2 linked regions of the Neodiprion lecontei genome follow. The main gene of each other region encodes a partner of the protein of the gene in region 2 in a complex. Links are inferred from orthologs where the notes say so. Each region holds a gene or a part of one and is shown on either strand. Other genes may lie near its edges.

Region 1 (5,742 bases), on a different chromosome or scaffold from region 2:
GACGTGTAGTGATTCATCTGTTAGTGATGTTGGTTACGTATCCGAAGTGAAGGAAAATACAGAAACACCAAAAGAAAAGGGGGACGAAGAACCAAAGTCAGAGAGAAGTGACAAAAAAGAACGAAGTGCAGAAAATACGGAAGATAAAGCAGAAGACAAAAGAGAAAGCGTAATGGGCCCTACACCAGATGAAGAACGTGGCTTTTTACACTACTTCTTACCGTCCCGACTGTTCACGTGACACGATAAGCCACATATATCCCTTGTTTAGAAGAAATCAATTTTAGCAAACAGATTTGCTGCTACTTGACCTGAAAAGATTATCAGTAATGCATTCTCATTTTAAAGACGAAGCGTTTTCTCTCTGATTTGTCGAATTTATTTTCGCGAACTTATACAGTATTCATAAACGTGGAGGATCTTGTTCAACAATTGTGTACTGTAAGTTGAAGCATGCTAGTAAGTCTACCACTGCCAAATCAAGGTCCCACTGGGAAAAAATTCTAGTTAATTCAATTTTACGACTGATACGTCTGGAAATCAAGTTCAGGTCAAGTGGAGATGTTATTAAACGTAAACCTATTTTGTCTGGTTTGTCATAGGTGTGTTAATGCAATAGTGTTATTTCAATCGTGTGCAAGTGTAAATGTGTGTGTGTGTGTGTGAGAGAAAGAGAGAGAGAGAAAAGAAGCTTTGAAATAGTATCTATCATAGTACGAATCAAATTTAATTGAATCAAGTGAAGTATTTTGCTTTAAATCTTATATAGACAATTTAAGTGTTAGATTTTGAATAATTTTTCTGGTTTTACACAGAAATAATGAATATTTAAATTATGGTCATGTAATCATTTCATGTGGATGGACACTGCGCCATGTAATTCGATGCTTTTGCACTTTTTCAACCTTATAGGAATCATTTCAAAAAGAAAGACCATCTGACGTGAAATGAATTTTGAAAATCATTGATTTAATCTAGAGACGCATTATTCATCTATTTTTATGCCAAAGGTACAACAATATAATGCGATACACTGCAAAATGTTGCATAAAAACTTCCATCATCGAGTCGTACTTCTCACACAAACGTCACAGTTTGTAATCAAAGTACAGTCGATGCTAAAAATTCTTTATACAAAACCATCAGAAATATACTATACAATTAAGTACAATAAATCGCCACAAATAAATCATTACTGCATTCAAATTTATTTAAACTCGTCTGGCAGAGGTTTCTCCAAGATGTGGTGTTCCTATTTGAGATGCAAAATGTTGAAACCTGCATTCACGTCGCGGTTGTAAGAAGAACCTGGAAAAAATAAATACAACGTGCTTTAATATCAAAACAAACCGAGCGTAGTGCGAATTGTGCAACGTCCTATGCAGCATTATCACAAGTGAATTCACCTGAATTGATATCGACTCCCGAAGGCGCACCAAACTTTCGGCTTTCGGTTACTTGAGGTACTGAGTCATCTGTATTTCGGTTATTTGGCATCCCGAGCTATCCGTTATTTCATATCGAACCAGCGGCCGTTTTGGTACACGAAGCGGTGAATTTACTACGTTACGCTCGACGATCCAATATTAATCAGAGTTTTTCCCCATCTTTTCCAATAATTTTATGTGCCAATTCATGAGCCGCTTGATCCATACGTTGCATTGGAGTAATCGTAGATTTACTTCGTTCTTCAATATTGCTAGTCCAATTTTTCAACTTTTCTTGTCTAATAGATTTACCCGTAAAATGTCTAAAGTATCGAGACTTGGTTTTCATATTGCAAATGCTGTCCGTTCGCTGTTCAGTAGCCGGGTCGGCACGCCGTCGAGAACTATGATAATTTCGGCTTTGTAGCGTTTATCGCTTTTTCGTTGAGATTAGATTTAGAATTGTTAGTTGAATTTTATCGGGGTTTCAGAATTATTATGCGATAGCATGGCAACAGGTGTGTAAAAATCAAGATGTCTATATTTTAATCCGTGTACAGAGTATAAAAACATATTGTTGAAATCTTGAATTTTTACAATTGCATGGCAACGCCAAAAGGTAGCTGATGTTTGAATATATTAATATTTTACGTGCATATGTGTATGTATGTACAATGATTAGATAGAATATGCTAGAAAAATCAATTTCTAAATTGTGGATTATGGTAGATCGATATTTGCTAATTCTAAATCGTCATCTTCTAGTGCGACGAAATTATCAGTCTGACGCAAAGAGCAGTCTTGAGGGTCAGGAACAGAGGACAGAAGGATGTCAGTTTCCTTGTCCATTTCGAAACATATTTTTTCTGGTAATTCTCTGGGTGCAGATTTAAAGCCAGCGCAGTCATGATCGTAGCACTTTTGGAATGCTACTTTGTTATTCAAATCAACAACCCAATATACCCCATTGCTTTTATGTGGCCTGCCTATATTCGCACAGTATCTGTAACAGAAAAAAGTCGAATAATTTATATGTATCAAGTTTGGTGAATTTTATAGAATGCGTTACGAACTATGTCATCAAATTCAATTTTCAAAAGCATTTGACCAGTAAGAAATATTAATTTTACCTATGATCTATGAATGCATATAACATTACGCTGTTATTCAGAAGTTTGACTTCCCGAATTTTGCCAGGTTTCACAATGTCTAAGATGAATTTATCGATGTCAGGATATGGTGATTCAATTTTCTTCTCAGCTCTGACATAAACCCGACGCTGACTTAAGCATTCTTTGGAATATTTAATCGCGTCTACCGAATTTTTATCCTGGTATTCAAGTAAAATCAAATTCTTAGTACTTGGTACATAAGATATCAAAGAGTCTAAGAATAATCCCAATTCTTTGTTCGTGTATGTTGTGCTGAGGATGTACTCAGAATCGTCGCTCACGGTCAGGTGAGAATTCTTTCCCAACTTGGTAGACTTGTAAATTCGAAAGTGCCTGTTTCTTGTGTAGACTCCTTCATCTACAAAGAGCTCTTTTCCCTTTGTGGTATTGATAAATAACTCTGCCAAATCTTCTTTGTGAAAGCGGCTTAAAATATTATCAACGGAGGATCGTGTGGCATTGTCTAGCAACAAACTTTGCCGAATATTAGAGCATATGGTTTTAACAAACCGTCCTGCATGTTGGTTATTCTTGAACATAACGTTTTTCACACGGAACACTAAATGCCGGCTGAATTTAACGTCGGTGGTTGAGTCCAGGCTTAGAACCTCTGATCTTCTGCAAGGAAAACCCCAGTGTTCCAAAAAATGTGCACAAAATACATCGATCAGTGTTTTTGTCATTTTTGAGCCATCGCTTGATGGGTTTAGATCCTTTCCAAATTCCAAATCAAAATATAGGTGGCAAGGAGAGCCGTCAGGTATAACCTGATATTGGAACAACAGGTGTGTGAATATTTCAGCTCTGTCAAGTCGTATTAATTTTTTTATTAAAAAAAAATCAAACCTCGTATGAACATCTCTGCTCCTTGGGTCTAGATTCATCGACAAGCCAGTAGATTTCTGGGTGCGCTACAATGAATTTTCTGTATCCCTCATCATATTGCAAAACGAAGGTATGCATTGAGTTTGAACTTCCTTGATCGGCTACAAGCAACGCTTCTTGCTGCCTCCAAAATTCACCCCAAAATTCAGATGGTCCCAACAACCGTCTTCGCTTAATCTTAGCTTCTTCGCTATCGTGTATGGACGACGATAATTCCCTGACTCTAGATTGATGCTGAGCGTGACTTTCGATCAATGTTTTTCCATAAAATGTATTTTTCGATATTTTACTCATTATTGTTGATTTTTCGGTGGATTTTTATCTACTTTCCAAAGTAAATATTTTCTCAAGTTCGTCACCTTGATCTTCTGGGCGTTGGATAATTCAAAACACAGAATTGGCTAATTTACGTCAGAAACTTTCCTTTATTTTGACACTTCAACCTGCCTGAGTCTAGATCTCTGTTTTGACGGGGTTGACGGAATACAAAGTCGGTAGTCCGATTGTTGCCTGTCGGAACCTGTCGAGAGCAGTAGCTGTATACCTCCCCCCCCCCCCCCGCAGACGTGCCGGCTGAACGCAATTGCACAACTTGACTCGCGCATGCGCGGATGCCTCGCACGAGTCACATATCGGCGGCCCCTTTGAACCAAACGTGCGACGCCATTTCGTGCCAGATGGTGCCAGACACCGGCTGCGTGAAGATAATATATTGTAAAGACGTTCAGTCCTGGGCTAATATAACGTCCGGCTGGGTGGGACCGAGTATGTCCGGCGGTAATTATATTGCTTTGTTTACTTACTTACTGACCCGTCTTAAGAAATTCCGGTGTTAATTCGCGTTTGCATAGTAGAATACTGTAATTTTCTCCCGACCTTTTGGCTTCTCTTACCATGCCCTTACATCCCAGCAATCTGAGCCTCTCGCAAGTACTTCGCCAATAAAGGTATGTTTTTCTTTTCGGCCTGTACAAATAGCTAGTTAGTGTGAATTCGTTGCGTTATTTTGGAAGCTGTCTGCATCGATTCTATGCCTGGTGTTTGCGGATAGATAAATAAATGTGCGTAAAACGTACGTGGTTTTTTGCGCCTTCCGAGAAATAATGCTCTGTAAAACATAATCGGTATTTGCACCTAATATTTGAAGGTAAACGAATGTCGGTAATTCATCGATATTTACTGACAATGAATAACGTCAGTTCGTGAATACATTGCCGACATGCTTTTGTCATCGAAAATTAGTTCCAAAAGTTTGGTCACAGAGCGCTTTCTACTGCAATGATATAAAAATTGTTAGCATCGAGTTAAAACGATAAAGAAGCAGGAAGAACTACGTAATCGGCTATAAACGGAAGGAAACTATGAAACATACAAGCTTTGCCTTGCTCATCACCTTGTCCGCATGTAAGTTATTATATTTTCAAATTTATTCCAACTCGGTTGTCATTTTGCCCCGCAAGCGTCGCTGCTGCAGCGCTAACTTCAGAGCACTCACAGAATCTCGGGACATTGACGAGTTCGAACGTGCTGGAATCGCGTCCTGTGACTCGAATTTGTGAGAAACTTAAATTAACAGTTTTTTTTCAAACAAATCCGGTCTGTGGGGCTGGCCTTGGTAACTGACCGTCAAAAAAACAATTCAAAGTCACGTAAAGATTCGCTTTTACGCGGTTTGCTAGCGACTGACTTTTTTCTACGCTAAACAAATGACGATCGCGATTGGACCGTTACCGTGTTCTTACACCAAGTCCGTAAATATTTTCGGTGTATTCCTAGATAAATCATGTGTTGAGTGTGCTTTTCAGTTTATAACATTCCATTCTCAATTTGTCACGATTATATCGAGTATGAAAAGTCATATACGATCGCTACAGTGATATACGCAGGTATGTATATATGTGGATACAAGCGTGCATTATACGTTTGCCCTTTCAGTAAGTTCAATCGTGTTTTTACATAGCCCTAGGTCATTGTTCTTCACAAATTGCATGTCAAGTCGCTACTGGTACGACTCGCGAGCCAATTGTGCGATAAAAATAACAACTACAAACCCGTTGACGCTGTTATAATCGTTATTTATAATTTTCAACAGGCACGTGCGTGCTCAATTGTTGAAAACTAGCGGCTCTACGACGCCGAAGGTCATCGCTGACAAAGCCTATGTCTTGGAGATCGATCAGGAGAGCTGATTCGACTGATTCTATATTCTGGAAGCATCAAACTATCGGTAAGCCTCACATGCAATTTATTTAAGTACT
Region 2 (7,277 bases):
TGACATGTATAGAGATACCTAGTCATTCAATAGTCTGACTGAATTATTAGTGGGAGGGTAATTCGTAATGAGAATCAATATAAAATTATGTCAATTAATAAAATCTGCCAATGAACTCCGATTATTCGCTATCTTCTTGATAAAATTTACCCGCAATAAGGCACCTCATCTTAATTACATTGGCACTTTAGCAGTTTATTTAGAAGGTAAATTTTACCAGGGAGGTGGAACAACCAAGTCATAGTAAATAAAATACTTACCAACTTGTAATATGCAATTGGTCGGTATTTTGTGAGTTTCGTTAACTCTGTTGTTTGGCTGAAAATTAATGTGTAAAAACGTAAGTACAATGTATAAAGTAATACAAGCTTTTCATTATTATTCAAAATAACTGACCTTTTCTCAGTTCCATCAATTGTGTGTTCGTTAATTCGAAACCCTGTTATTTTAATGGGATCTGTGTTAGGAAATTCAGTTGCACGTTTTTCATCTGGCAGAGTTAGTTTCAATTTTTTAGAACTCTTCATGATTGTTTTGTCAATGTCGACTGACACTATACTAAGTTATATTATACGAGATATTCCAAGCAACACGTGTCATATCAGTACACTATCAAGATATAGAAAAATAACTTTGTCAATTTATAGTCAGAAACATAAGCTTATCAGAATGTAGTAAGTGACTTGCTGAATTAAGATTATCAGATATGATCAGTTTTGTAGCAAAATATCTGTCTGACAAAAATGTTTAATTCACTTCTTTCATTTTCCTTTAACTTCAATTTTTTATTTATAAAGCATTCTAAAATAATTTTTCTCAAGTTTTCTTATTTAGTAATATGCCCATAAATTTAAAAAAAACGACCTTGATACGAAATATTACCAGTTCCAGAACTTGCTTTCTCATAAATGTATTAGGGGTGTTAGAGTTATTATCATTGATCGTGAGCCTACGAAAATTTCCAGGCTAATCAGACCTCAGCATAACTGCCAACATTCTTCATAGCTGCCGATTTTCAGTTCACGTATCTCGAGTTAAAATACGACCAAATTTACAGCAAAATTCGAAGTTTATTTTAATAAGTATACGAGTAAATATATGTACCGTATTGTTCAGAGTACAAGCCAACCCCCAATTCTAAGACAGTATTTGAGGGAGTTTTTCTTAGTTAACTACATATAAGACGAGGACGATCTTGGCGGATGCTAACAAAAAAAAAAAAAAAACCTCGGGGTATATTCGGAACAATACCGTATTTATAAATGGTACAATATATTCGAGCACATAGAGCAAAGATCGTGGAATATTGGTGATCAATTAAAAATATTCATTAGAGTAGCAATATTCATGGGACACTTATATAAATTAACTTAATATATTGATAACATTAAACCGAATCAGCATTGCATAAATTGTACAAACCGCTGTTACAAGCTCGGTATAGTGAAAATAACAATAATAACAACAATAATAATAATAATAATACCTTACAATAACGTTTCAACATTTAAGTAATCGAAACTTGGGCTAAAAATTTATGCCTTGCCCATGTTGGAAAGTTCTTTAATTTGCGCGATCAGATGATTGTTGTAGCTTTTAATATCCAGCGGGGTCACATTCACTACGGTGGACTTCAATCTGTTCTCATCCTGTAAAAACAAATGGCATTTAGGCTTAGGTGTTGAAAAACAGTTGTTCCAATTTAGAACTGGATAAAAATTATATTTGATATCCTGAAAAAGTAACCTACAAATTTGAATGGAAGCTGAATGACTTACGCTATAGTTTTCCATTTTTACTCTCAATTTGAGAAGGAAAGTTTTGAAAGCAGATTCACCGAACTTTTCAAGAAACGCTTCATCATCATTATCCTTCAATTCACCAATTTCTTGTGCCGTCATTCCCAAAATCTTTTCAGCCTCCTCATTGAACGCGGTTACCCATTGGTTGTCTGTCCAGTCTGCGAGATTGATCTGAGACAAGAATATTCATGATTGAGTCACAAGACTGCACTCTCAGAAATTGACACACTAATATTGTATTTGATACTCACACTGGCCAGCAGTCGATATTTGAAGTTTGGATAGTTCCTGTTACACTTTTCACAACGATACATTTCATTGGACTGATCGATAAGCTGTTGTATGGAAAAAAAAAATTATTGTTGGGCTACATTTGGGTACATTATTCTTTCACTGAGGCATTTGTTTCAAAGTGTGACATTTTTAAGGGCAATTTTTCCAGATGTGCGCGCTTCATCAGTATCACGAGTTACTTACTTTTTTTTTACAGTCATCGGTCGGGCACGCTTTGTAAAGAGAGTTTTCAGTCCTTATCATATTGATAGTTGCCTTGACGATGAAGTAGTCGGGAGTTTCTCTGCAGCCCAGCTGCATGTCTTTAGCCTCCTTGAACGTCAACCACGGACCATTCATTCCCCCACTGCCACCGCCCAGCCCCTTAGAAATGGTATGCACATTCTCTGTGCATCCAGTTGTGTTGTACCAACCACGGAGCCTAATAAGTAACAATGATATTCAGTCAAACTGTCTCATTGTGTGCAAATCTGTTGCTATGAGAATCGGAAGATTGACAGTTTGTACCTATGAGCTTCGGGAATGTCTGGGTCAATCTGGAGCACTGACGAATTAAGGGTAGACAGAGATTTTCCACCATTAAATTCGGCAAGACGTGCACCTTTCACGGCAACAACAGGATTAGAAGATCCATCAAACTCGTCCGCCTGGGTTCCCCATAATGTGAGAGTAACCTGAATTGAATAAGATGTGACAATTAGTCAGTTTTACTAGGTATGTTGAACTTGTGGTGATATGCTAGAAATTCTTCTGGTACCATTGTATTGCTTTCGTCAACAAGATTGACATCCCTCTTCTTAAGCTCTTTTCTTGTAGTCCTCGCAACTACAGTTGTGATATCACTACAAGATTTGCAAACGCCAAGCACATCTAGAAAAAAGAATATACCAGTACGAGTAAAAAAATATTTGATATCTCATTTCTTAACACAGGCCCGTGAATGGGAATAACAAAAACATACCAATTATTGCATTCGGCTCCTTTCCATCAATTTCACTGATTGGTGCAAAATCGTACTTCACTGTTGGGATCTCGTCAGAATCGTCGTGACAAGGAACAACCTCTGTTTCGGATGTCATTGTCATCTCGTATTCATTTTTCAAATTACTGAATTGCTTGTTCGCTGGCTTCAGTTGACAACGTGAAATATAGTAAATTTTTCCAAACTAGTAAGAAAGAAAAACTTGATAAAAAAAATTTGAATAATTTTAACAATATATTACGTTACTATAACAACTGATATTAGTCACAAGTTAATGCGTAGTCACAAGTAGTCACAAATGATTGCATGAAAATGAGTTAATCTGAACATACCTCGATCATGTTGTAAAATTTGTCACATTGATCTCTGAATGCAGTGCAGCGAATCTCGCCAGTCTCATCGACTAAATCCATAGAAAAGAGGGAACCTTCGCCACGTGCATTGCTCCACGTTTTTATAGCTGACTTATTGGCTACTCTAGCTCTGATTACCCACCTGTTAAGTAAATACACAACTTTCAATTTGTAGTTGCATATTTTTTACACCACAAAAACTAAAACTGCTAAATGACATGATTACCTGTTTTGATAAGGACTCAGGGCTTCTATCGGTGTAGTTGAGATACCAGCACCAGAGGATACTGAATCATTAAGATAAGATTGCTGCTGTCTTCCAGGACGAACTATTAAAAGTGAGATTTATATATAATTTTGCCACAAATTCAGTTAAAAAAAAAAAAAAAAAAAAATAGTGTTTCGCCATAGCATAACATAAGAATAAAAAGGTTAATTAAAAAGAAATAAGTAAATATGAATCTTTTAGTGTTTAACAGTATCAAAATAGTATTTAATTAAGATTGGATAATACCGACGATTCTGATTCATGCAATAACACAAGTGTTTTTCACGGTTTACCAGAATTTGAGGAATTATTAGTTTTTGGTACAGGCGCTGCTGATCGGGCAGCAGGAGTAGAATCTCCGTTCTGTACATTGCCGTCTTGCTGGGTAGGATTTCCTATTTTGCAGCCCACTTCAGTGCCCGGAATCTTAACGTCAATGTTGAGTATGACCATCACTCTCCTGATTGATCAAATAGTAAACCGAAATTCAGAAAAAACATCAGCAATCCATGAAAAAATATGTCCGACGATTCTAATAAAAAAAAATAGTGATATGGAACATGTAACACTTGTTTTCCTGTGAACTTACTTCTGTGTTCCTGAATTGTTGATCATACTAATTGCGTATCGATTAACTTGGCACACGGAAAACTCTGTCAGTTGGTCGTTGGTAATCAGCGAGTTTAGCTGTGTAGCCAACATCGCGTATGAGTTAATTCTTTTACCATCTGAAACTAGGAGGCGATAGCGCTCCTGAGTGCTCGCCGATTGCAGCTTTTTGTGTCCCTGAAAGAAAAGTATTATGACGAAACAAGAATTTCCAGAAATAGTAGATAGAACAGGGGAAGTTTGAAAACAAAATATTAAACATCTGAGACAACGAAGGCGCTTTACTTCAAGGATGTATCATAATAGTTAAAAGAATAATTCAATCTCAATTGTATTAGAATGAATTGAAGTATGTGGATTAAGCGACTGTTCGATCGTTATTAGATTGGAGTATTGGTGGATTGATGCTTCAGCGTGACTGTTGGCAGATGGTTAACAATGAAATTCTGTTTTATGGGTATCCAGTGTATGAATCACGTATAATATTGAATGGATCTGCTCACCAATATCTGTAAAATCGGCTTTTCGACCTCGACACCGTTCATGATTTGCTGTGGGAAAAAATTCATTGACATGAACGATTATTACACGAATATGTTAATAAGATACGTCAGGAAACTTACGTCCAAGGCTCCTTCACTAAGTTCGTACATTTTTCCGGAGTAACGAGAAGCGGTCACCTGTTCAATTCTCAAAAAATATCTCTGAAAGTTTGAAGAACCGTGATGCGGAGTAGGAGATTCACTTGCTCAGTGTCATTAAAACGTAAAGGAAGTGAGGTTGGTGAAGCGTGCCTCGAAGACACCGGACAAGTTGTTTCGCGCCAAACAATGAAATAACAAGGATTCCTTGTTCCTCATTTCACATTTCATAGACCTTCCTCGACAGAATAAGGAATCTTATTGGCCTCCTTCTTTCAAGGCAGATCTCGAGCTTCCTTGAGGAAACCTTCGGCACTGCGATTGGCTGTTTCGTTTCATGTCGCCAACGCTTGCGCTTGCGCTTGGCGTCTGTGCACTTATGACCCGTATGACGCGATCACAGCCAGTTTACAGGTTAACTTCTTTGAGGTTATACACTCTCATCAGCAGTTTTACCACTATAAGCAATCACATATCCCTAAATATGTCTTCCTTCTGGAAGGGAGAGCCAAGTTGTGACTATGAAACGAGGACGCCTCGAGATTCAAGGAAGCCTTCATCAAGGCGTTCTTTATCCTTGAGATAAGGAGGGACTATGAATACGGGTGTTAGCTCCCAGTGCTGTCAACAATCTCTTATTTCTTTTGCACTGCCGAATTCGGCGGTAGCTGTATCTCTATCATACGAAGTTTTTAGCCCTGCCAGCTAATTTTGGGAATGCATAGCCAACGGTTTCGCATTCGCTATTACATACCGGGACAATCTCTTGAAACTATACATAGGTATAACTATGTGTTGCAGTAAAACGCCGCTTGACTGTTGATTTCCGGTTCCACATCGGTTTCCCTTTGATTAACGCAAATCATTGACATCAATTGTGGCCGGCTAGATATTTGTTGGTTATATTCATCATATTTACAAAAAGAATGAAACTACGGACTGTCTAGTGCGTAAAGAATCCTCCTGATATTAATTTCCCACGTATATTAAATTAGATCTACTGTTTGACACGATGGGCGAGCTAGTACAGTACTTAAATAAAATAAAAATACCCCAGCGGGGAGACAAAATATATAAAGATGAATGTGTTTTCTCGTTTGACACACCAGTGAGTTTCATATTTTATTCTGTCGCACTGTACCTCTCATTTTTCCGTATCAAGTCTAATCGTATAAATTCTATACAAGGAATCGCCGAATGGACTCTACCTCAATCTTACAACATATTTGGGACTAGGTCAGGATCATGTCGATGCTTACTATCAAAGGACCAATAACCCTGTATTTCTTCGCTTGAAGAGATCAAAAAAAGAAGTAAGTATGCTTCCTTTACTTGTTTTCAATTATAGCTTACCATACGTCAGTTACATTCTGCAAAATTTATTCCAAAATGTTACGGCTAAGTTCTCAAGGCATAACGTATAAGTCTTTCTCTAAATATGTTTACGAGAGTCGTTGAATGCAGTGGAAACAGATGGTGAAACAACAATTAAAAATATACTTCTGGATACTGACATTTATGGCACTTATTTTTCCAACTATTTATCTATAACGTATTACAGATACCTGCCGAGCAGCAAGGGGATGGTCCTGAGAAAAAAATAACCCGTTTAGCGATCGGGGTTGTGGGAGGATTCACACCGGATACTAAAAAATACGAGTATGACGAATCCTACGAGATTGTTATATTGCCCAATTATGTAACAATACCGTATCCTAAGGATGATTTGCCTGAACAAGTATGTGCTATATTAAGTAGTGCGCAAATAAGCAGTATCCAGTGAAGAATTTAAATCAATCGTTAAATTATTCGCCAGGTTAAAACTGCCATAAAATCTCTATTGGAAGCAGAGTCTGCCTCAAAGTTAGCAGAAACAGAAGCCTTAGCTGGAACTTGGGACGGAGAAGCGAGAATAGTTTCAAAGTAATAGACAAAACTGACGAAATTGATAATGTTGGCTTTACATGTACTGAATTATTATTACCAAGGCTAAACCAGGTTATTTTTTCATTATCCAGGCATGCCGCAAATTTAAAACAGTTGGGCAATGGAAAGAAGATTCCTCCAAGCGGCTGGAAATGTGAGAACTGTGATTTGACCACGAACCTATGGCTCAATTTAACCGATGGGTCAATACTCTGCGGGCGGAAGTTTTATGACGGAACTGGTGGGAATGATCATGCCATTGAACACTATCGCACCACGGGCCACCCTTTGGCTGTTAAGCTCGGAACAATTACCAAAGAAGGAAAAGGGGATGTTTTTTCTTACGATGAAGATGACATGGTTGAAGATCCGCATCTTATCACGCATCTAGCACACTGGGGC

Evidence for each region. Proteins that work in one complex are often made in the same cells at the same time.
Region 1: the proteins of replication protein A 70 kDa DNA-binding subunit (region 2) and DNA-directed primase/polymerase protein are in contact, whole or in part, in a crystal structure (PDB 5N85), measured with the Homo sapiens proteins. The link is inferred for Neodiprion lecontei from reciprocal best matches to the Homo sapiens genes RPA1 and PRIMPOL. Residues at the interface, in NP_002936.1 of Homo sapiens: Arg31, Pro32, Ile33, Thr34, Thr35, Arg41, Arg43, Leu53, Ser54, Ser55, Met57, Asn85, Leu87, Lys88, Arg91, Arg92, Val93, Tyr118, Asn119, Glu120; in NP_001332824.1 of Homo sapiens: Asp514, Asn515, Gly516, Ile517, Asp518, Asp519, Tyr521, Phe522, Leu523, Glu524, Ala525.

What each region holds. Positions count from the first base shown.
Region 1 is NC_060265.1:27,967,594-27,973,335, reverse strand, and holds DNA-directed primase/polymerase protein, read right to left. Parts: upstream 4,014-5,742; 5' UTR 3,779-4,013; coding exon 3,446-3,778; intron 3,367-3,445; coding exon 2,558-3,366; intron 2,431-2,557; coding exon 2,148-2,430; 3' UTR 1,407-2,147; intron 1,309-1,406; 3' UTR 912-1,308; downstream 1-911. Other genes in the region: stAR-related lipid transfer protein 7, mitochondrial, read left to right, coding at 1-241. UniProt on the Homo sapiens protein: DNA primase and DNA polymerase required to tolerate replication-stalling lesions by bypassing them.
Region 2 is NC_060264.1:2,098,200-2,105,476, reverse strand, and holds replication protein A 70 kDa DNA-binding subunit, read right to left. Parts: upstream 5,254-7,277; 5' UTR 4,962-5,253; coding exon 4,932-4,961; intron 4,860-4,931; coding exon 4,812-4,859; intron 4,486-4,811; coding exon 4,289-4,485; intron 4,160-4,288; coding exon 3,993-4,159; intron 3,761-3,992; coding exon 3,658-3,760; intron 3,574-3,657; coding exon 3,411-3,573; intron 3,263-3,410; coding exon 3,058-3,262; intron 2,967-3,057; coding exon 2,854-2,966; intron 2,771-2,853; coding exon 2,604-2,770; intron 2,518-2,603; coding exon 2,280-2,517; intron 2,138-2,279; coding exon 2,054-2,137; intron 1,974-2,053; coding exon 1,779-1,973; intron 1,650-1,778; coding exon 1,536-1,649; 3' UTR 765-1,535; downstream 1-764. Other genes in the region: ATP-dependent translocase ABCB1-like, read right to left, coding at 261-318, 397-527; ubiquitin carboxyl-terminal hydrolase 5, read left to right, coding at 5,962-6,057, 6,137-6,262, 6,511-6,687, 6,766-6,872, 6,968-7,277. UniProt on the Homo sapiens protein: As part of the heterotrimeric replication protein A complex (RPA/RP-A), binds and stabilizes single-stranded DNA intermediates that form during DNA replication or upon DNA stress.